5 linked regions of the Macaca fascicularis genome follow. The protein of the gene in region 1 interacts with the protein of each later gene in a pairwise test. Links are inferred from orthologs where the notes say so. Each region holds a gene or a part of one and is shown on either strand. Other genes may lie near its edges.

Region 1 (3,500 bases):
CCAGTTGTCTAAAAACTGTGTTTCTGAAGTTGATTCCTTTGAATCAGCATCCTAATAAAAGCTATACTTTACATTTGGCTCTTAGATCTTAACATTTACTTATGCTTCTGTATGAATTTCAATTTTCTATTACTTTTTATTTCAAAAAATAAAAATTATTTGTTTTTTGAGAACAATCTCTAGTGTATCTTAGCGAGGTATTAAAATCTAAAACAAAATAATTATCAAAGTGGTGGCCTACCAAAGTAATAATAAACAAATTAAACAAATAGACTTATAATGGAATTCTGCCTTTGTACCTGGAGGCACTTTTCACAGGATATTTTTTAGATCACGATGATGTTGACAATGATGATAACAGCTAACACTTCAAGAGTGCTTTCTGTGTACCAAGGCATGCATGTTTCTAAGTGCCTTTCATAAACGAATTTAATCTTTACAACAGCCCTATAATATAAGCACCATATTATCAATCTTACTTTATAGATGGGTCAAATGAGGTATATAGAGGTTAAGTAACTTGCTGAAGGTCGAAAAGTAATGTAAGAATTAGAATTTTAACCCAGACAGTCTGGTGCCAAGAGCCCTAGCACTTACCTGCTACACTACACTATACTACACTACACTACTCTGTTTTCAGTACCTGTGTTCAATTTATTAAACATATTGAGGATATGTGGTATGAGGCCCTGTAGGAAAAGCCATATATTTAGAATATAGTATATATTTGGGTAATAAATTAGATGATCATTTACTTAATTAGATATTATAAAATTTAACATCCATTTATTTAATATAGCAAATTTCATTATCCTGGCCACTCAAATATATAAAATGCAAGAGGATATCCAGATGTTATAGAGGAGTTTAACTTTATATTCTCTCAATTAAATATGACTATCCTCTTTCTAAAACAAAGCATACCAAGAAAATATTTCCACTCTATCTAGTAGTTATTATGTGGTGGATAGAGCAGTCATATATTTCTATAATATTTTTAAGTATACCTGTCTAACTTTATTAATTTTTCCAGGTGCTATTATGAATGCCATCTATAGTATGCCCTTTAAAATTTTTATGCAGTTGTGTTGGTCCTCACATATTTAATGTCCCAAAAAATTGATTACCAGTAATCACAGCTGAATTTCTTAATTTGCTTTGCAAATTCAGAATAACCTGGTATATCTCTGGCAATTTTATTTAAAAATGTTTATGTATTTATTTAGAGGGTTTATGAAGTTCTTTTGGCTTCCAAAGTTTGAAATACTGTGATAAAGTTGTGTGTTGATTAGCTTAATAAAATAACTGCTCAGCATGTTCTTAATATTCACATCAACTTCTCATTTCTTCGTTGTTATCAACTGGTATATTTTATACAAAATATTTTGAAGTGGGCTTAAGTATTGCTTAATCTAGAGTTTTCATTGACATTATAGTTCACTCAATTAACAGATAAAGGGGAATAGTGCACTTTTTAAAAAAATCATCTATTTATCACTCTCTCTAATCTATACATGAGTCAAAGACCCAAAGTTTGTCTACTGATTTTTCTGCAACTTTAATTTCATGGTTCAGATTTCATCATTATTCACAATAGAATATCCAATTGTGCAGAGTGAGTTTGATTTGAGAATAAATGAAGGACAGTTGAGAGATATGATAGAGGATTTAATGGATCATTCAGATAGCAAAGGTGTTTCATAATTAAACCTTGTTGAGGTCTTGGTTATTACGCAAACGTTAACGACTGAGAGTTGATATCTGGCCAGGATATAGTTCTCATTTGCACCATTTTGCTATTATATATATGAGTTTAATTTCCATAAATTGTTAAAAAACATATTTGGTTATTGTTTTAATTTTTTATTTAATTAACAGTGTTTTGGAATTTTTGTATTTATGTATATTATAGATGAATATATATATACACACACACACATATATATACACACACACACACACACACAGTGACTTTTGTAAAACTTAGCAATATCATGTAACAGAAGAAACCTAAAGGACTTTTGGATGTTTTTATTTGCTTTGGAATTTTCAACAGATTTAATTTATATTTGAATTATCTGAGGAAAAACTTCAATATGTAATTCACATTCATAGTCTAAAGACTGTGAAGATATAAAGATATGGATTTATCTACATTTCAGCATGAACAATAGACATAAAATTGATTTCTTCTAAGGAAATTCTTCTTAATGCTTATATACAGATAATGAGAGAGATTCACAAAAGTAAGCTTTTTCTAAATGTTTGGTTTGATAGAAAAATCAAGTACTGTATACAGGCAGTTCTAGTTTTGCATTTAAGCAAGGATATGGTTCTGATATGCACAAGTTTCAGTAACATGGTACCATGCAAAGTGAAGACTGCCTGTATAACAATGGCATTTTTATCTAAAAAGACCATTCCCCAAGATTCTTTATTACAAGTCGTATTTACTATGACTTTTAACCACTCCGTAGACAATGTTACCATTAATAGTTCCATCAGTAGCTGAAATATATAAAACCAGATAATTTTGTCTGACAAACTGGCTTCTCTTCTACAACTTCTCCAAAAACTGCTTTCTAAAAAGTTAGAAGAGCCATGTCCACTTAGAATAAAATGATTTACTAAATAAAGGGTTCAATTAGGTAGATTATAGATATCTAGGAAATCAATTCATCATTATCTCAGTTAATTTATTATTAATTTATAAACAGTTGATAGTTTTATTAGGTTTCTTAAAAGTTTTGTTAAAATAGTATAACCACCTATATATAATTCATGCTTTGTATCAGCACTCTGAGGACAAGTAAAACAGAATTTTTATTTTAATGCATGAATATACTTGTGTTTTAAGGAACCAATATAGTGTTGAAGTGTAACCTCCTCTGAAGTGATATTTAAATATTTGTAGATATTTGCAAACATATCTCATCATTAAATTATTGGTATTTAAATTGGGGGAGATGCTTTTTTTTCTGCAATTTATTGCCTTAGAATTATGGAAAGAAGCATTCCTTTTAAGTAACATGATGGACCCCTTTTGTAAATTGTCTAAAGATTTACACAAAATACTCTCTACAGCAGAGCAGTACACAAGACTCTGGACTACAGGAAAGTGAAGTATCAGCAGAAAATATCTTAACTGTAGCCAAGGATCCAAGATATGCCAGATATCTCAAAATGGTTCAAGTGGTAAGCTAATTTGGTCTGTCTTCTTTGTGTAGCAGCCTCATTTGAAATTCTTAACCCTGGAGGTTTTGCTGTTATTTTTTTCAATTTGAGAAAACTGCTAAACCAAGTAACCAAGTTTTCTATTCTCTTCCTTTCTATTTTAACTCTCTGATTTAAAAAAAAAAAAAAAAAAAAGTCAAATCTTTGTAATTAGAATCGATCCCACACTTTAAATTAACATAGTTTAATATAGATTTATATAAATTTGTTTGCATTACACAAAGTTATCAATGCAAATCTTAGATACAAAAAGTAATGAAAGTAGA
Region 2 (4,246 bases), on another chromosome or scaffold:
ATCCATGTGGTCTAGCCTCATAATAATTCTCCCTTTTTGGACACCCATGATTCAGTGTGGCCTCTTCCCAGAGCTCAGAGATCCAGTTAAAAGATAGGTGGTCACTATCTAAATAAAACTGGTCTCCTGTGATCCGACCACCTCCCACCAGGCCCCACCTTCAACACTGGGGATTACAATTCAACATGAGATTTGGGTGAGGACACAGATTCAAACCATATCACAGGCCAAGGCCGAGGCATGGTTGAGAAGGCTCAGAGGCACCTGACCAAAGTTTGTCACAATTTTGATCGACATTACCAAATTACCCTCCACTGATGTATACAAGATGCCCAGTTTTTCATTTTTACCAACCACCTGTGTTTCCAAATGTGTTCATCTTTGTCAACCAGATATGCAAAATCAAGGTGTCTCCTTACAAACTCTCTGATAGTAAATATCAAAAGTTTGGGTGCATCTTCTTTTCTAAGACTATGTCCTAAGTAATTCTGATATGGATAATGCGCAAGGTGTTCATCACTATATTGTTTATAATAGTAAAAAACTGGAAGAAGCCTAAATATGTCTTAGGGAATTTGTTAAATAAATTATAGCACATACACAGGATAAATCATTTACAGCCATTAAAAATCATGGATACATGCATAAGGCCAGGCTCAGTAGTTCACATCCATAATCCCAGCACTTTTGGGAGGCTGAGGCAGGAGGACTGCTTGAGCATAGGAGTTCAAGAGCAGCCTGAGCAATGCAGCAAAACCCCATTTCTACAAATAACAAATTTAAAAATATTATCTGGGAGTGGTGACATGCACCTGTGATTGCAGCTACTTAAGAGGCTAAGGTGGGAGAATTGCTTGAGGCCAGGAAGTCAAGGCTGCAGTGAGCAGTGATTGTAACACTGCACTCCCGCCTGAGCAACAGAGCACAATCTTGTCTCAAAAAAAAAAAAAAAAAAAAAAAAAAAAAAAAAAAATCAAGCATAGAGTTTTGTGAAATGCTTATTTTTGAGTTTATGGAGTCCCCTCATTTTGGTCCCACCCGAAATCTTACACAAATCACTGCTCATAAATTTATGAATTAAGTTTTACATTATTCAAGTAATTGGCATGTGTGAAAAAGCATGAAGAAAAAATTGAAACACAAACATTCGTTTTCCCCAGTCATTCCCCTTTATAGTAATAACTGCAGCCAGTTAGATGGAGACTAACAGACCTTTTACTAAAATGTATCTAGTGTCACTGATCCTAGATAACATCCCGACTAAAACTGGAATCTTGTCCTTTAACTTTCTTCTGTAGCTGGTCACTATAGACTGAATGTTTGTGCCCCCATCCATAATTCGTATGTTGAAATCCTAATCCCTTAGTGTGACTGCATTAGGAGGTGGGGCCTTTGGGAGGTGATTAGGTCATGAGAGTAGGGCCCTCAGCAATGGGATTAGTGCCCTTATAAAACCAGAGAGGCCGGCAGCAACTTCCCCCATATGAGGACAAAATGAGAAGACAGAAGTCTACAACCAGGAAGCAGGCCCCCACCAGACGCTGCATTGCACCTTGATCTTGAACTTCTAGCCTCGAAAACTGTGAGAAATAATGGCATTTCTGTTGTAGCAGTTTGAACGAAGGCACAAGCAACGTTGGTTAAACCTTATCTAAATATACTAGGTTATGTGAGGAACATGGAGCTGTGATACTGAAAGGCTACCACAGTGGCGGGCCAGTAGGTGCTTAATGAAAGGGATACGTTTGCGTCTGTCCTGTTTACTTGCTTTGTCCTTCACTGGGGCTTTCACTGTGCCACATCTCACTGTAGGGATGCTTTCTGTGCCAAGCTTGTTTCAGTATTCAAACCTTCATTTTGTAAGAACACGACAGAGCACCTGCCATGATATTCACGCAGGTAGGGCTGGAGGCAGCCACCGTGGCGTTTGTTAATTGCAGCGTTTTAACTCAGGGGGGACACATGAGCTCAGGACAGAGTGACAAGTTGAGTGACAGCAGGAGGGACGTCACCGTACAATTCTCTCCACTTTTGTGTAAGTTTGAAAATTCTCCCAAAACACCCAGAGGTACACAGCGTCCTGAAGTGGAAACGGCCAGGACAGTGTTCTTTCTCTTTGTTGGGCTGCAATTTCGGGACTTCTGTACAACTCTGACCAGCTGCCTTGTCCCTCCCTTCCCAGGGTGAGGTAGGAGCCTCTACGGCAGGTCGGGGTCGGGGAGAAACAAACGGGAGATCTGCGGGGAGTCGGCCTCCCCCGGCTCCCCGGGGCGTCGGGATGCTGGGTGGGGGAACCCACTGTCAAGAACCAGGTTAGTGCGACCGGGAAATCTGGACACTTGCTGGTTCTAGAAAGAGGAGTGTGGAATTAGGAATTCCCTTGGGATTGGGAGCGTCAGGAAAATGTCCTTTTTGTTTTAAGAGGTGTGTATGAAAAGTCTGTGGAACGACAGGATGTCTTTTGACTAATTACCTAAACCAAAATTGGAGCAACCACGATAAAGGTTCAATGCTTTAAGACGAAGTGAGGGGTGTGCGGGCCAGCACTCCCTCATCTTGGCGGAAAGTTTTCTGAAGAAACCCGCTAAGTCTCAGTCAGCACCATCAGGACTGACAGGAAGTAGTCGCCACCCGCGCCCCAACCCTGCCCCGCCTCGGCGAGGTCAGACCCTCACGCACAGTTCCCTGCCTCCCTCCACTACCTTCGGCCTTCTCAGCCCCGTCCATGGCTCCGGCGGTGGGCTCGGCCTTCGACGCCAGGGACCTCCCCGCCATTTCCTCTCAGCTCAGCAGCGCGGGTGGCTTGGGAGGAAGCCTCCAGTGGTGATTGGAGCAACCCCTGCAGGGGGCGGGACTCCAGGCAGCGCGCCTGCGCAATGCACCCCCGCGCGCGCTCTGGATATGTGAAGTAATGTTCGGCCGGCCTGCCTGGCAGCTAGTGCGCATGCGTAAAGGCCCGAGGGTTACAAAGCCCGCGAGGGCCACGTCCGGCCGTCCAGGCTCGCGATTGGCCCGGTTCTGGGTGCTCCCGCGCATGTGTGCTGGCCTCCGAGGGGGGCCGGCCCTGGTTCTGGAGGCCCTCACCACGAGCGACCAGTGCGCGTGTGCCACGCAGCAACTGCCTGTGAAATGTGCGTGTCTCACGGACGACTCCACGAGGCGCCATGGCCCCGGCAACCTCACGGGGTCGCGGCTCTGCTTGGCCACGCCACCGCGGGAGTGCACGGACCCCAGCAAGTGACGCGTCTGTGGCAGCCCCCGCGGGGCCCGCTGTTCCCGCTGGCGCAGAGGAGCGCAGCCTGCCCCTAGGCCGCGTTCCCGTGAGCTCCATGCCCACAGCGGCCCATGCCGGCCACAAGCCCACGGTCCCTTCTGCACGGGCCCTGCCACGCTGGGGCCACCGGGGAGGCCTGGAGGGCACTGGGAGGAGGGAGGAGGAGCCGAGGCTTTCGGGAGAACCAGCCCTTCACCGGCCAGGGGAGGCTGCGATGCACCGTGACTGGTTGTGAAGAACCAACAGAAGAACTTCCCGTGCGGGTGAGTGGGAGACACCAGAACACCCGCCCGTCCTAAATACAAAGCCTCGAATCCCAACCTATAAAAGGTTACCTTAGGGTTTTGGGTTAGGGCTACAGGTTAGAGTTAGGGATAAAGGTTAGAGTTGGGGTAGAGTTAGGGTTTGGGTTAGGGTTTAGGGGTTAGAAGTTCGTTTTAGGGTTGGGGTGGGGTTAGGGTTTGGGGTTAGCGTTAGGGATGGGGAAGGATTAGGGGTAGGGTTAGGGTTGGTCGAGGGTTGGGGTAGGGGTAGCATTTAGGGTCAGGGTTTAATCGTTAGGGTCAGGGTTTAATGGTTAGGATCAGGGTTTTAGGGTTGGGGTTAGGATGTTAGGGTTAGGGTTTGGGGTTAGGGTTTCGAGGATAGAAGATTAGGGTCAGGGTTAGGGGTTAGGGTTTGGGTGTTAGGCTAAGGATTGTTAGGGTTAGAGGTTAGTGTTTTAGAGTAGGTGTTAGGGTTAGGTGTTGGTTTTGGGGTTAGGGTTAGGGGTTACGGTTTAGGGTAAGGGGTTAGGTTTAAAGGTTAGGGTTAGTGTTAGGAGTTACAGTTGGGTTAAGGCTTAGTGTAGGGGTAGGGCTAGGTTAGTGCTTAAGTTTAGCGTTGTTATGGTTAGGTTTAGCTTCAGGGGTTAGGGGTTAGGGGTAGCAGTAGGGTTAGGGGTTAGGGTTTGTGGTTTCAGTTTAGCTTAGG
Region 3 (4,166 bases), on another chromosome or scaffold:
TCACTCCAACACTGGCTCCAACCCACGTCTCCACATCACCCATGGGTGTCCCACAGTCTCCCCCAGCATGGCTTTCCCCACTATCGCCTCGGGACCTTTGTTCACATTGGTCTCTCCATTCGAAATCCCTCCCTACTTGTCTCAGCTTACCGAACTGGTCCCTTCTTTCATAGCATGGTCCAAGTGCCAACACTTGAGCCCTGGGGCCCGATCTCCTTCTTCCTGCTACTGGAGTTCCTCTAACAGCCAGCAGGAAGTGATGCAGGTGACCATCAGGACTAAGGAAAAGGACCCACCAAGAAAGAAGCCCAGCACTGCAGAAACACCCCCCAAGCCTGCCCCCATGGTTCCCAGGCCTGCTCTTCATACCTCGGAGCCAGCAAGCACCCAGCTATTATCAGAGTCTGGGCAGGAGGCCATAGTTGCTGAGGTCCCTGAGGCTGCTGTGGCTGCCACCTGCAGAAGAAAGCTCTCTTAAGGATGGGTGCTCCTTTCAGGAGGGGCAGGATGCAGAAAGCAGCCTTGGCTGGGTTCCAAGGTTCAAGTGCTGGGCAGCAGCCTCCAGAACCAAGCCTGGTTCCAGTCCTTCTCTCCCTGATACCCCAACTCTTCTAAGCAGTATTTGCCTTGCAAATCAGAATCTGCCAACAGCCACAGAGAAGCCAGCCTCTTCCGGGGACCAACAGGGCCTTGGAAAACTGAACTGACCTTGAAAGGTCAAAGTAGCATAGGCTGGAAAGGCTCTGGGGAATTCCAGTCCAGCCCCCTGACATTTTAGTCAGGGAAGATTAAGCCCAGCAAGGTTGACAGACTTAACTTGCCAATAAGAAGCCTTGCCCTCCCTTCCCAACACCAGGTTCCTACACAATCACTACCTTCTCCCCCAGGACCTGCAAAGGAAGACTTGATGGCCTCTTTCAGCCCTAAATGTCCCACCACTTGCCCAGCATAAGTCCTTGGTATGGTCTAGTTCAATGGTTCTCAATCTTGGTTGCACATTGGAATCACCTAAGATTTTGATTCAATTGAGTTGGGGTGTAGGCCCAGGCGTGGGTCTTTTTAAAAACCTCTCAAATGATTCTCATGCGCACCCAGGGTTGAGAACCACTGGCATAGCTTAGATCCACCTGGATGCACCTTTTATGTCTCCTCATCACTCTCAGCTCCATCATAAATTCTGTTTACCTTCTTAGTAATCGCCAGAGTTTGGTGTTAGGGAACTTGAAGGTGACTGGGAAAATGGATTTATGGCAACTATCATGTATATATACACCACTTTATAGCTTGCAAAAGATAGACAAAAATCAGGGCTATGGTCCTGCACCTCGTTAATCTGCTCTGACTTGACAGGGACAGGGGAGGGAATCACTCCAGTTTCCAAAGCCTGACTGACACAAAGCAGAGTAAGAAGAGAGGGATCCGCCCCTTCATCCAAGGCTAAGACAGTTCCCTCAGGCAGCTCCTGTTGGGACCAGGCATAAAGGTGGAAGGATAGATGAGCTGACCTCTCAAGAGTACTGGATTGTGATCCTTCAGAAGAGGATAAATGACTGCTTCCCCAGCACTTTATAAGGAAACTCAGGAAAAGGGAAGTGAGGCTGGGACAGTACGGCAGTTCTACCTTCGAAACCAACCACCTTATCCCCTTCTGTTTGAGCTGTTTTCAAGTCCCACGTGGTGCCCTAAATAACCTCCTGTGGCTCCTGCCAGTCAAGATCCAAGTCCTGGATAGGTCTTTCCCAATGCCCATCCTCCCAGACACATGCACCCATCCCACACAGAGACAGGAAAATGGCTGTAATGACTTCCCTGTACCAAGTCCAAAAGGACACCCTGGCATGCATCTCTAAGTATCCATAGAGCCATGGCTGTTCAGCCTTCCGCTTGTGGCTCCGCCCCCGCCGTTGTCATCATCTCCCCATCCCCAGTTGCTGACTGTTAACAGGTGGTGGCAGGAAGGAAGTGGCAGCAGCTTGGGCTGAAGTCCCTGTTTATGCCTAGCTGTGTGTACAGTCTGCTCAGGTCCTCTAGAACCAGGCACCATGGCAACCACAGTGATGTCAGACCCACTGTCTCCATGGAAACCAGCAAAGATATTTGGGTCAACAAAACAAATACTTATAAGACCCAAATAGGAGACACTCTGAAGCTCCTATACTCTGGGTCCCAAACCCTGATATCTCTCTCTTGGTTAGGTTAACCCAGGATTCAAAAAAATACCCCTCTTCTCCCAAGCCAGCATCTCACTGCCTTATTAGGAAGTTCCTTCTGCTGTCTAATCTCCACCCTTCCCTGCTGTGTTTCCAGATCTTTTTCTTTTCATCGACCTTCTGGAAGAAAACCCACCTCCACTCCCTCCCCCCACCCCCTTCTTTTCATTCAGGCAGGATTCAACAAACACCTCCTGTAAGGATTATGACAGAGACTTCTGCTATTTCTAAAAAACAGCTAAAGGGGGAGCTCTCCCACTCAGTACAAAGCTAGGAAGTCTCGTCTCTAGTTAATTTAAACTCTTCTAACAGTTGCGCCTCCAAACCTCTAAAGCAAAGGATCTAGGGCCACTTGCCTGGGGTTCCTGTTTTGTTAGTGTCGGCACCTGGCCCTCCTCCCCCAGCCCGGAAATCAAAAGCAGCTCATTCCTTCTAGATTAGTTCCGCCTTCCCTTTTCCTTATTCCACCCCCGTCACAGGGAATCTGTGGACCCCTTCCCAGCTAAGGCATTACCTGACCCAGCTCTTGCTTCGGTCTTCAGCTTAACTTGTTGCTGGCTTTCCTTCGTTTGCAGCCCGAGAAGAGAATCATGTGACCAGAAACTGACCAATGAAAAGTCAACATCCCCAAGGGGGCGGAAACTTTTGGCCAATAAGAGAAGGACTTGAGAGTCAGGGGAGGGGAAGGGAGGTCTAGCGACAGGGCCCCTAAACTTGAGCTTACCGGGTGGACGACCGAGGTCTCAGCTAACTGTATCCTGAGTTTCCTGCCCTTCTTTCCCAGTGTCTAAACAGTTTCTAGAGGGAACCCCCTCCCCCACAAACTGAGAGAAAGGCAGAGGGTGCAGTCTTCTGAGATGACGAAGGGGCCAGGTTGGTCCCCGGATAGACAGAGACAGCTGTGAGATGGGGGAAGGGAGAGAGACAGGTCGCAAATCCAGGGTGTGGAAATAGCCCTCCTGCCGTTCTCCCCAATCTGCTCCAGCACAGACTGCTTAAAAGATGCCATGGCTACTTTTAAAAGAACTGTTGGGGGACGGGAACGATCTGAAAAACATCCCAAAATGAAATTTGCTGTAACAGGAGTAGCCCCTCCCCTCACCCTTAGAGCTACACTTGCTCCCTAACCCAAACAACTGGGAGGTGGGTGGGGTGCTAAACCCAGAAGAGCTCAAGCACTTGTCTTCCAGAGGCTTTGGTGCCAAATCCTCCTGGCTCCAGGCCTGGACCAGGAATATGCTCAGAAAGGAAACTCAGTTTCTCACAGCTGAGACACAGGGGGATGGGCGGGGAAACACAGGCCTCCCTTGGCTCAGCAGCTTATACCAGGGTCAGTTCAGGGGCCAGATCTGCCATTCCCACTCCCAGGGACCCTGGGGAGTATACTTATCCTCAACCCCTAAGCACCCTACCCAGCAGTGACAGTGGCTCATTCCAGCCTTTTCACACAGCAACAGCAAGGAGTCCTTGTCTGGGATTTTAGTCATTTTATTAATCCAACAGTACAAAAGACCCCCCACCACCACCGCATTCTGCCATCACTTTCTTCCAAAAAGTAGTGGAGTGAGAGGGCGAGAGGGAGCAGATCCAGCAAAGACACTCCCCCAGGAGCCATTTTACAAAATGCGGAGCGGGGGAAGACAACACAAAAATAGCAACAGATAAATGGGGCAAACAGAACCACAAACACAAGAGGTGAGCAGCGGGGTGGCGGGCGGGGGGGGGGTTGCCATCTACACCGTTTTAGTGTGGAGGACACTGGGAACGATGCCCAGAGGCTGCTTTCTCCTCCCGGCCTCAAAGGTTGTCAGCTCCACCAGAGCAAGGTCTTCTCTCCTCATGCCAGGAACTGAGAGATGTGGGGGTAGGGGACCACTAGGTCTTTGCCACTATACCTCGAGCCGGGGAACCCCTGACTTCTCTGAGGAGGGCCTGCTTTCCCCACGCACAGAGGAA
Region 4 (4,082 bases), on another chromosome or scaffold:
TTTGAGACAGAGTCTTGCTCTATCACCCAGGCTGGAGTGCAGTAGCATGATCATGGCTCACTGCAAACTCTGCCTCCTGAGTTCAAAGGATTCTCCTGTCTCAGCCTGCCGAGTAGCTGGGATTACAGGCGTGCACCACCACGCCCATTTTTGTAGAGACAGGGTTTCACCATGTTGGCCAGGCTGGTCTCGAGCTCCTCACATCAAGTGATCTGCGCGCCTTTGCCTCCCAAAGTGCTGGAATTACAGGCATGAGCCACCACGTGCCAGCAACCGTTTTTTTTTTTGAGACGAGTCTCACTCTGTCGCCCAGGCTGGAGTGCAGTGGCGCGATCTCAACTGCAACCTCTGCCTCCCTGGGTAACATTCATTTTTATAGAGAATTAAAACGTTATACATGAAACATGAGAAAAGGGAGTTTAAAACTTATTTTTCACATATACAGAGGAAAAGGACTGTGCACTCAGTGCACCTATCTTGCTATTGGGTAGTTTTAATGGGCTTTCCTCTGACATCTGAAACTATTCAGTGGAAATTTAAATGAACTCCAGAGTAAAAGCTTAATGTGGCCACAATCTAGTTTACCTATGTCAAGTTACCAAGCAAGTCTCCAGAATTTAAGCCATTTAAGAAGGTGGTAATGTGGGCGACTTATCAGCGATCCCCTCCACCGCCCCCCGCCTCCCAAGAAAAGCAATGGAAAATCTTCCAGTGACAGGCTTTATAGGCCAACAAAAACCCCTTTATTAGCTGGAATGATAAAAACTCAGTGGTTATCTAATGTTAGCCAGTTGTCTTAACTAACAGTGACAGAAGTCTAATTAATAAAAACTGGGAAAATAAATTCAGTGTAAAGAATGAGTTTGGCATGAAAAATTCCAAAACATGAAGTCCACAGCGGGTAAAGAATACAGGGATGTTTGCTGGGATCATGGCTGGGAACTGATCTACAGAATGTCTGACTACATCAAAATTATACTTACAGGTTCTATTCTTTTAAGGGAAAAAAAAAAGGCCGGGCACGGTGGCTCACACCTGTAATCCCAGTACTTCCAGAGGCTGAGGTGGGCGGATCACTTGAGGTCAGAATTCGAGACCAGCCTGACCAACATGGAGAAACCCCATCTCTACTAAGAATACAAAATTAGCTGGGCGTCGTGGCGCAAGCCTGTAATCCCAGCTACTCGGGAGGCTGAGGCAGGAGAATCCCTTGAACCCAGGAGACAAAGGTTGTGGTGAGCCGAGATTGTGCCATTGCACTCCAGCCTGGGCAACAAGAGCAAAACTCCGTGTTAAAAAAAAAAAAAAACAAAAAGAAAAGAAAAAAAGAAACAACAAAAAAAATTGCCCCCTTCCTCACCTTCAACTCTTTTGTGTGGCAGGTATCTTGTTTTCACCTTCCAGTTCTTCCACCCCAGCCTGTGTCATGAGGTCTGCGATGTTCTTCTCCAGATCATCAATGCGACTACTCATATCATCAAGTGGTGAAGTTAAAGACAACGCGTGCCAACATCTCCTCATTGAGCCCTTTCCTTCCGTCCCTGTAGACTACGGCCTTAAACACAACGATTTTAGGGAAACAGGTCTTCCAATTTCCTTTAGACACTGTTACAGGCTGGTGGGTAAGAGTATAGGCCTCTGGGGCATGGCTACCCAGCATCGGTTTCCGGCCCTGACCCTTACTAGTGATGGAACCCCTAAACCTCAATTTATGCATTTGCTAAAGATGGTAACACTACAACCCACTCATAAGGTCATGCTGAGTATCAAAAGAAAGACACACACAAAAACGCTTAGTTCACAGTCCATGGTCAACCACACCAGCTATTAGGATTGGTAGATGTACGCTCCTTGAGCCAGGGATCTGTCTAGCTCAGCTGTACCCCGAGCTCTCGGCGCAGTCCTTCTTGGAAACACAGTACAATCCAAGCTCAAATTCTGTAAGTGACTGGCTGAAGCTGGCCTGAAAACTACTCATTTATCCCCACCGCTGCCCGGCAAAGAGACTCCAAAGGCCCACAGGAGGCCCACTACAGATAAAAAGGATATTTCTCCCAATGATCTGGTCAGACATGGTCTGAAATTTATCTTGCATCTGCTGCAGGAGTGTCTGCACCTAAGAAAAACCGAAACAAACAAACATGGTCCACACTGATCCTGAGACACCTTCCTGGGATCAGGACGTGAGCTCCGGTCTCGGGTTCCAGCCCCATTTCTGCCTCTGGGCAGCTGTGCCGCCTTCAGCAAGGATCTTCCTTCTCGGGGCTTCCGTTTTCCCACCTGTCTAATTAGACTGGTGGGCTGGGGAGGCCGCTGCGACTCAAAGTTCAGGGTCTTTAGGCTGTTTCTGCCGGGTTGGGGCACCCGGGGGTGTGTAAGGAGTCGAAGGGCGGGGAGGGTGTCAGAGGGAGGCAGGAGGGGCCCGGGGGGCGTTCGCCACAGGTGAATGGGGCTACCGGAGGGGGTCGGGCTTGGGAGCGCCCGCGGGGAGACGGGTCCGCACCGAGCGCCCAGGGGGTCAAGGTGGCCGGGAGCCTCGGCCAGAGACGCTTCCAGAAACGGGGCCTCGGCAGACGCCACGCGCGATCGCGGTGGGCGCGCCTCTGTCCAGCAGGGCCTGGCCCGGCGCCGCCCGAGAATGCCGCGGCCTCGGGCCCTCACAGCCATCCCTTACCACCGAGGTGAGGTCCTGCACGGTCTTGGGGTCAGTCTCGGCCATCTCCCCGACGCCCAGCTTGGCGGTTATGTCTCAGACCGTAACCTACACTTCCGTTTGTCGGCTCAGACGCCCCCGCCCGCTGCTTCTCGCGACGAGACTGGCTGCTCGCGGGACCGCGGGGCATTATGGGAGTAGTAGTTTCTCCCGCACCGGAAGGGCCTCGAGGCCGAGCGCTTCCGTTCCAAGGAGCGGCCCCACCCCACGCTCCCCGCCCTCTTTTGCATAGCCCCTCCCCTCCCCAGCGTGCCGTTGGTGGAGTGGGAAGTGAGACCAACTCAGAAATGGAGCAATAGAGGCAGGGAGTGGCCTTGGCCCCCATTCCAGGCTGTAGTCAGTCGAAAGACGGCTCTGGGTTTCTTTGGCCTGTCAGGACGAACTTACTGAACTTTTGTCCTTCAACAAGACCCACTATACCCTTGTAACTGCCCCCAAGTCAAGGAACATGAGCCCCCCGGAAGCCCTATGGCCCCTGTCCTGTCCTGTCCTGTCCTGTCATCTCCACCCTGAGGGTGGCCAGCGTCCGGAGTTTAACCCTGCAGGTTCATTGTGCCCGTCAGGTTCATATGAGGGGATTCAGACAGGAAGCTGTCCATCATGTCTGGCTTCTTGCACTCCACGCGATGCCTACTGTTGAGTGGGGAAGGCTTCCGGCATCAGGGTTAGACTGTGGGTTTGGGTGTTGAAGGAGGTGGGCACTGCTGAGGTGGAACCTCTAGTTCCAACCCCACAGATGGTCTTTAGGATTGGGTCTCAGGGCAAGGGGATAGGAGAGTCCTTGACTGCGGGCCTGGCAAGGAGATGTGTGAAAGTTCTGGAAACTTTCACACATCTCATTTAAGGACTGCTGTGTGTGAGGGTCAGCTCCAGTTTGAGTTTAGGTGGGGAGAGTCTGTAAGGGGTTAGACCTGTTACAGGAAAGGGTCCTGATCCAGACCCCAAGAGATGGGGTTCTTGGATCTCCTGCAAGAAAGAATTCAGGGCGAGTCTGTAAAGTGAAAGCAAGTTTAAGAAAGTGAAGGAATAAAAGAATGATTACTCCATAGACAGAGCCCCGAGGGCTGCTGGTTGCTCATTTTTATGGTTATTTCTTGATTGTATGCTAAACAAGGGGTGGGTGATTCATACCTCCCCTTTTTAGACCATATAGGGTAACTTCTTGATGTTGCCATGGCATTTGTATACTGTCATGGCGCTAATGGGAGTGTAGCAATGAGGACAAACAGGGTTCATTCTCATTGCCATCCTGGTTTTGGTGGGTTTTGGCCGGCTTCTTTACTGCAAGCTGTTTTATCAGCAAGGTCTTTATGACCTGTACCTTGTGCTGACCTCCTATCCCAATCCTGTGACTTACAATCCTTTTAAC
Region 5 (4,006 bases), on another chromosome or scaffold:
GTTGCTTACCTCTGGGATAAGGTTTTGTATATTGTCTTATGGAAACTTGAATAATGACTAGCTTTGTAAAGGGACGCATTTGAGATGTTTGGTCAGAGAAGAAAAAATTGCTCTGTAACACAGAGCAATTTTATTATGTTTTTCCATGTTCCAAAACACTAGAGTGATTCCAACCCTGCACTTTGGAACTTGAAGATACTTTAAAGTTATTATCTGGGTTCTTTTAATTTTATACTAGTTGGGTCAAGTATGCTATCTCAATGTGTCATTCAGCCCTTCTTGAAAGCATTGTAGCAATGGGTTTTAGCATCATAGCGGTATCTGTAGGAAAACAGCCCATTGCATGGCAAGAGTGATGCCATCTTAAAGCAAACCTGCCACGATGACCAATGTTTGACTCCTCCATACCAAGGTGTTCTGCAGCAGGGATCTCCAACCCTGTCTACCAGTCCATGGCCTGTTAGGAACTGGACTGCACAGCAGGAGATGAGTGGCAGGCAACAGAGCAAAGCTTCATCTGTATTTACAGCTGCTCCCCATCACTCACATTACCACCTGAGCTCCACCTCCTGTCAGATCAGTGGTGGCATTAGATTCTCATAGGAGCATGAACCCTATTGTGAACTGCGCATGCGAGGGATGTAGGTTGCACACTCCCTGTGAGAATCTAATGCCTGATGATCTGTCACTGTCTCCCATCACCCCCAGATGGGACCGTCTAGTTGCAGGAAAACAAGCTCAGGGCTCCTACTGATTCTACATTATGGTGAGTTGTATAATGATTTCATTATATATTACAATGTAATAATAATAGAAATAAAGTGCACAATAAATGTAATGCGCTTGAATCATCCTGAAACTGTCCCTCCCCAGTCCATGGAAAAATTGTCTTCCCTGGTGCCATAAAGGTTGACTGCTGTTCTGCAGCAAGGTCTTTAAACAATGCCTGTAACATAGATAATCCCTCAGAAAGATGCTTATCTAATGTTCCCAGTGGTCATGACTTTTGGCAAGGAAGTCTGAGATGTGACCAGCTGCACATGACTTTACCTAAAAGCTTGCTATGTAAAGGACACTTTCTGGAGAGTGGGTGCAGGGATCCACTGTCTCACTGCTGCCCAAGACAGCACTACTGTTTGTAAGCCCCTATTAAATATTTCTTTCTGAGAAAGTGGATTTGTCAGCTTCTGCTTTTGGCCTTCAGCTCCCTTGGTCTTTGTGAGTAGGTTTGTATATACCTGCTCACTGCAGAAAAATATTCTACTCCAGTTTGGGATATTTTTGGGTTTACAGATAATCTGGTTACTGGAGGTTGAACCCAGTTCTGACACCAACGCTTATGATCTTTCACTCTACCACACAGTCTTCCGGAAACAAATAAGATGTGGTCTCTGCCCTTGATAGATTCTCCAACTAGCATGGGAGATGGGTTATAAACAAATGACTTGCTGCAGAAAATTTAATGGGAAACTAAGGAAGGTGATGCTGCCTCTACCTGGGCGTATCAGGGAAAGTATCACACAGGAGTGGGTATTTGTAGTGAGTGTTTCCACCAGGAAAGATAAGCAGAGGGACTTTCCTATGTACAGTAACATGCTTTCACTCATAGTTTAAAAAATTAACATTCTCACCCTTTTTTCACAGCCATCGTTGGTGTTACCAATCTCCCGTGCTCTCCTAAAAAATTTTCCTGTTCCTGTTTTTGCACTTCTCCTATAGAATTAATTTACGTGTCTTCTGTTTTCTCTATACTTAGAGCTCCTTGACCAAAGGGCCATGACTTATTTACCTTTGTGCACCTAGCACAGTGCCTTACAAAGACTAGGTGTTAATATACAGTCATTGGGCACTTGAGGATGGGTAAAGATTTCTAGGTAAAGAAACTAGGATGGGCACAGGCCTTGTGGGAGATGGAGCATAGCATGTTCAAAGGCCTGAAAGACAAGATCAGAATGACTAGCTATTAGGCAGTAGTGGTGGTGGTAGTAATAGAAGCAGAGTGTTCAGGAAGGTGATGTTGTAGGGTAGAGTAATCTGAGATAAAACTGGGACTGGTTGGAGTTAGATCATTAGGATCTTAGAGAACATGTTAAAGATTTTGGTCTTCATCCTAAGAGCAGTAGGAAGCCATGCAACAGAGGGTCAATGGGTAACAGACTGAAAAGTTCACCTGAGCTGTATTGAGGGGAAAGGGCTGGGGACAAATACAGCAAGGGAAAATGTAGAAGGCTATCACAGTAATTCAAATATTAGATGTGGCTTTTAGTGAAGGTTGGAGGAAGTGCCCCTTTTTCAGGAATACTATACAGAAAAGTCATATATTTGAGTATAACTACTTGCCTAATCCTTTTAGGATTTTCTTTTCCAATTTTTGCTCTTTATTGCTGACAGGCTCTTTGACAGTGGGTGGCTCTCCAGAAGCAACAGGTTCTCTTCCAGCCTCTTCAGTTGTTTCCTCACAGTCCCCATCCTCATTGTCAGGTGATTCCGCATTCTCAGGCTGCTCACTAGCCCTGGCAGTGAGACCCATAAGTTTCCCTGCTGTGCTGGCAGCAGACCCATAAGTGTTAATGATGTCTTCCAGCTGTCGATTCAGCTCTTCAGAGATATCGGGGTGCACATCTGCCTCTTTCTCCGGTGGCTGGACTGGGGTTGAAGAATCCTGACCATCTTCCTTCTCCAGGCCATTGTGACGGGGTAATGATGAACTGTCCCCTGGAGGTGTTGACTGTTGTTCCGCTGAGAGCTGTTCAGCGTTATTAGCCTCCATCTTGGACTGGTATCTAGTGGTAAGCACATTAGGCTTTACATAGCTAACCTAGATGCTACATATCAATGCTTCATTTCAATGGTAAGGATATCCCCCAAGTGAATGCCAACTAATTATGGTCTCTCACATAGAGTGAATGTCCTTTCACAAACCATTGATGTTACAATTATTAAAGTAGGAACACTGAAAAGTTGTTTTTCCAAATCAAGTCACACTACTGGCATATTTTTGGTTTTGCTCTTCACTTTCAACAGTATTTCTTATTATTCACATTAAGAAAGTAATTCATGCTATTGTTTCTTTGTGGCCTTATTTGTCATTTTGCTTACACTAGTCAGTTTGTGTTGTCATTTTCCTGTATAGTTCTATATAGATTAACAATCACTGGAGGTACATGACTGTGTGTATTTAAAATGTTTAAATCTAAAATGGCATTAGTTTTCTTTCAAAGTTAAAATATTTAATAGAAGAGCCATCGAATTTATTTAAATGACTCATAACAATAACATCTCTAAGCTCTATTTGATCCATAAATCAGTATTTTGCTTAGTATGAATATTTTGATGTAAATGCATTATTACACTCGATACAGGAGACATTTCTCACTTTTCCGGCATTTTCTTTTTCAGATAAGCAACACGAATGCTTTTTCTGAGGCTCAAACTGGCATCATTTTTCAATTAAGACAGGGAATGAGGAAAGGTATAAATAAATAAACCAAGTAGTATAGAAACACAGGCCGGGTGCGGTGGCTCATATCTGTTATCCCAGCACTTTAGGAGGCCGAGGCGGGTGAATCACTTGAGGTCAAGAGACCAGCCTGGCCAACATGGTGAAACCCCGTCTCTACTAAAAATACAAAAATTAGCCGGATATGGTGGCCGGCACCCGTAGTCCCAGCTACTTGGGAGGCTGAGGTATCAGAATTGCTTGAACCGGGAGGCGGAGGTTGTAGTGAGCCAAGATTGCACCACTAAACTCCAGCCTGAGCGACAGAGCAAGACTTTGTCTCAAAAACAAAACAAAAGCATGATGCTGCTTATAACAACAATTCCTTAAGTTTCTATAATACTCTTTTATTCCAATATATAAACCAACATTTTAAAAGAGAAAAACAGATTACAACTTTCTCTTCGAAGTCAGGAAGCTCTAGAAAAACAATAATTTTTAAGAAGTAGCAATGTTTCATAAACGAGGAGGAGACCAACTCGAGAAATAATTCAGCAATAATAAGGG

The links.
Region 2: the proteins of WASHC3 (region 1) and SYCE1 interact in binary tests that used the Homo sapiens proteins (3 or more experiments, as listed by UniProt). The two-hybrid records come from large-scale screens. The link is inferred for Macaca fascicularis from reciprocal best matches to the Homo sapiens genes WASHC3 and SYCE1.
Region 3: the proteins of WASHC3 (region 1) and PBXIP1 interact in binary tests that used the Homo sapiens proteins (3 or more experiments, as listed by UniProt). The two-hybrid records come from large-scale screens. The link is inferred for Macaca fascicularis from reciprocal best matches to the Homo sapiens genes WASHC3 and PBXIP1.
Region 4: the proteins of WASHC3 (region 1) and HSBP1 interact in binary tests that used the Homo sapiens proteins (3 or more experiments, as listed by UniProt). The two-hybrid records come from large-scale screens. The link is inferred for Macaca fascicularis from reciprocal best matches to the Homo sapiens genes WASHC3 and HSBP1.
Region 5: the proteins of WASHC3 (region 1) and TXLNB interact in binary tests that used the Homo sapiens proteins (3 or more experiments, as listed by UniProt). The two-hybrid records come from large-scale screens. The link is inferred for Macaca fascicularis from reciprocal best matches to the Homo sapiens genes WASHC3 and TXLNB.

Annotation. Positions count from the first base shown.
Region 1 is NC_088385.1:109,034,788-109,038,287, reverse strand, and holds part of WASHC3 (WASH complex subunit 3), read left to right. Parts: intron 1-3,084; coding exon 3,085-3,195; intron 3,196-3,500. UniProt on the Homo sapiens protein: Acts as a component of the WASH core complex that functions as a nucleation-promoting factor (NPF) at the surface of endosomes, where it recruits and activates the Arp2/3 complex to induce actin polymerization, playing a key role in the fission of tubules that serve as transport intermediates during endosome sorting.
Region 2 is NC_088383.1:142,662,260-142,666,505, forward strand, and holds the start of SYCE1 (synaptonemal complex central element protein 1), read right to left. Parts: upstream 2,801-4,246; 5' UTR 2,776-2,800; coding exon 2,703-2,775; intron 1-2,702. UniProt on the Homo sapiens protein: Major component of the transverse central element of synaptonemal complexes (SCS), formed between homologous chromosomes during meiotic prophase. Requires SYCP1 in order to be incorporated into the central element.
Region 3 is NC_088375.1:106,189,455-106,193,620, reverse strand, and holds the start of PBXIP1 (pre-B-cell leukemia transcription factor-interacting protein 1), read right to left. Parts: upstream 2,801-4,166; 5' UTR 2,725-2,800; intron 457-2,724; 5' UTR 421-456; coding exon 370-420; intron 279-369; exon of another isoform or gene 172-278; coding exon of another isoform or gene 151-171; intron 1-150. UniProt on the Homo sapiens protein: Regulator of pre-B-cell leukemia transcription factors (BPXs) function. Inhibits the binding of PBX1-HOX complex to DNA and blocks the transcriptional activity of E2A-PBX1.
Region 4 is NC_088394.1:79,684,712-79,688,793, reverse strand, and holds the start of HSBP1 (heat shock factor-binding protein 1), read right to left. Parts: upstream 2,801-4,082; 5' UTR 2,720-2,800; coding exon 2,675-2,719; intron 2,117-2,674; coding exon 2,050-2,116; intron 1,482-2,049; coding exon 1,363-1,481; 3' UTR 1,361-1,362; intron 1-1,360. UniProt on the Homo sapiens protein: Negative regulator of the heat shock response. Negatively affects HSF1 DNA-binding activity. May have a role in the suppression of the activation of the stress response during the aging process.
Region 5 is NC_088378.1:43,337,108-43,341,113, forward strand, and holds the start of TXLNB (beta-taxilin), read right to left. Parts: upstream 2,801-4,006; 5' UTR 2,771-2,800; coding exon 2,341-2,770; intron 1-2,340. UniProt on the Homo sapiens protein: Promotes motor nerve regeneration. May be involved in intracellular vesicle traffic.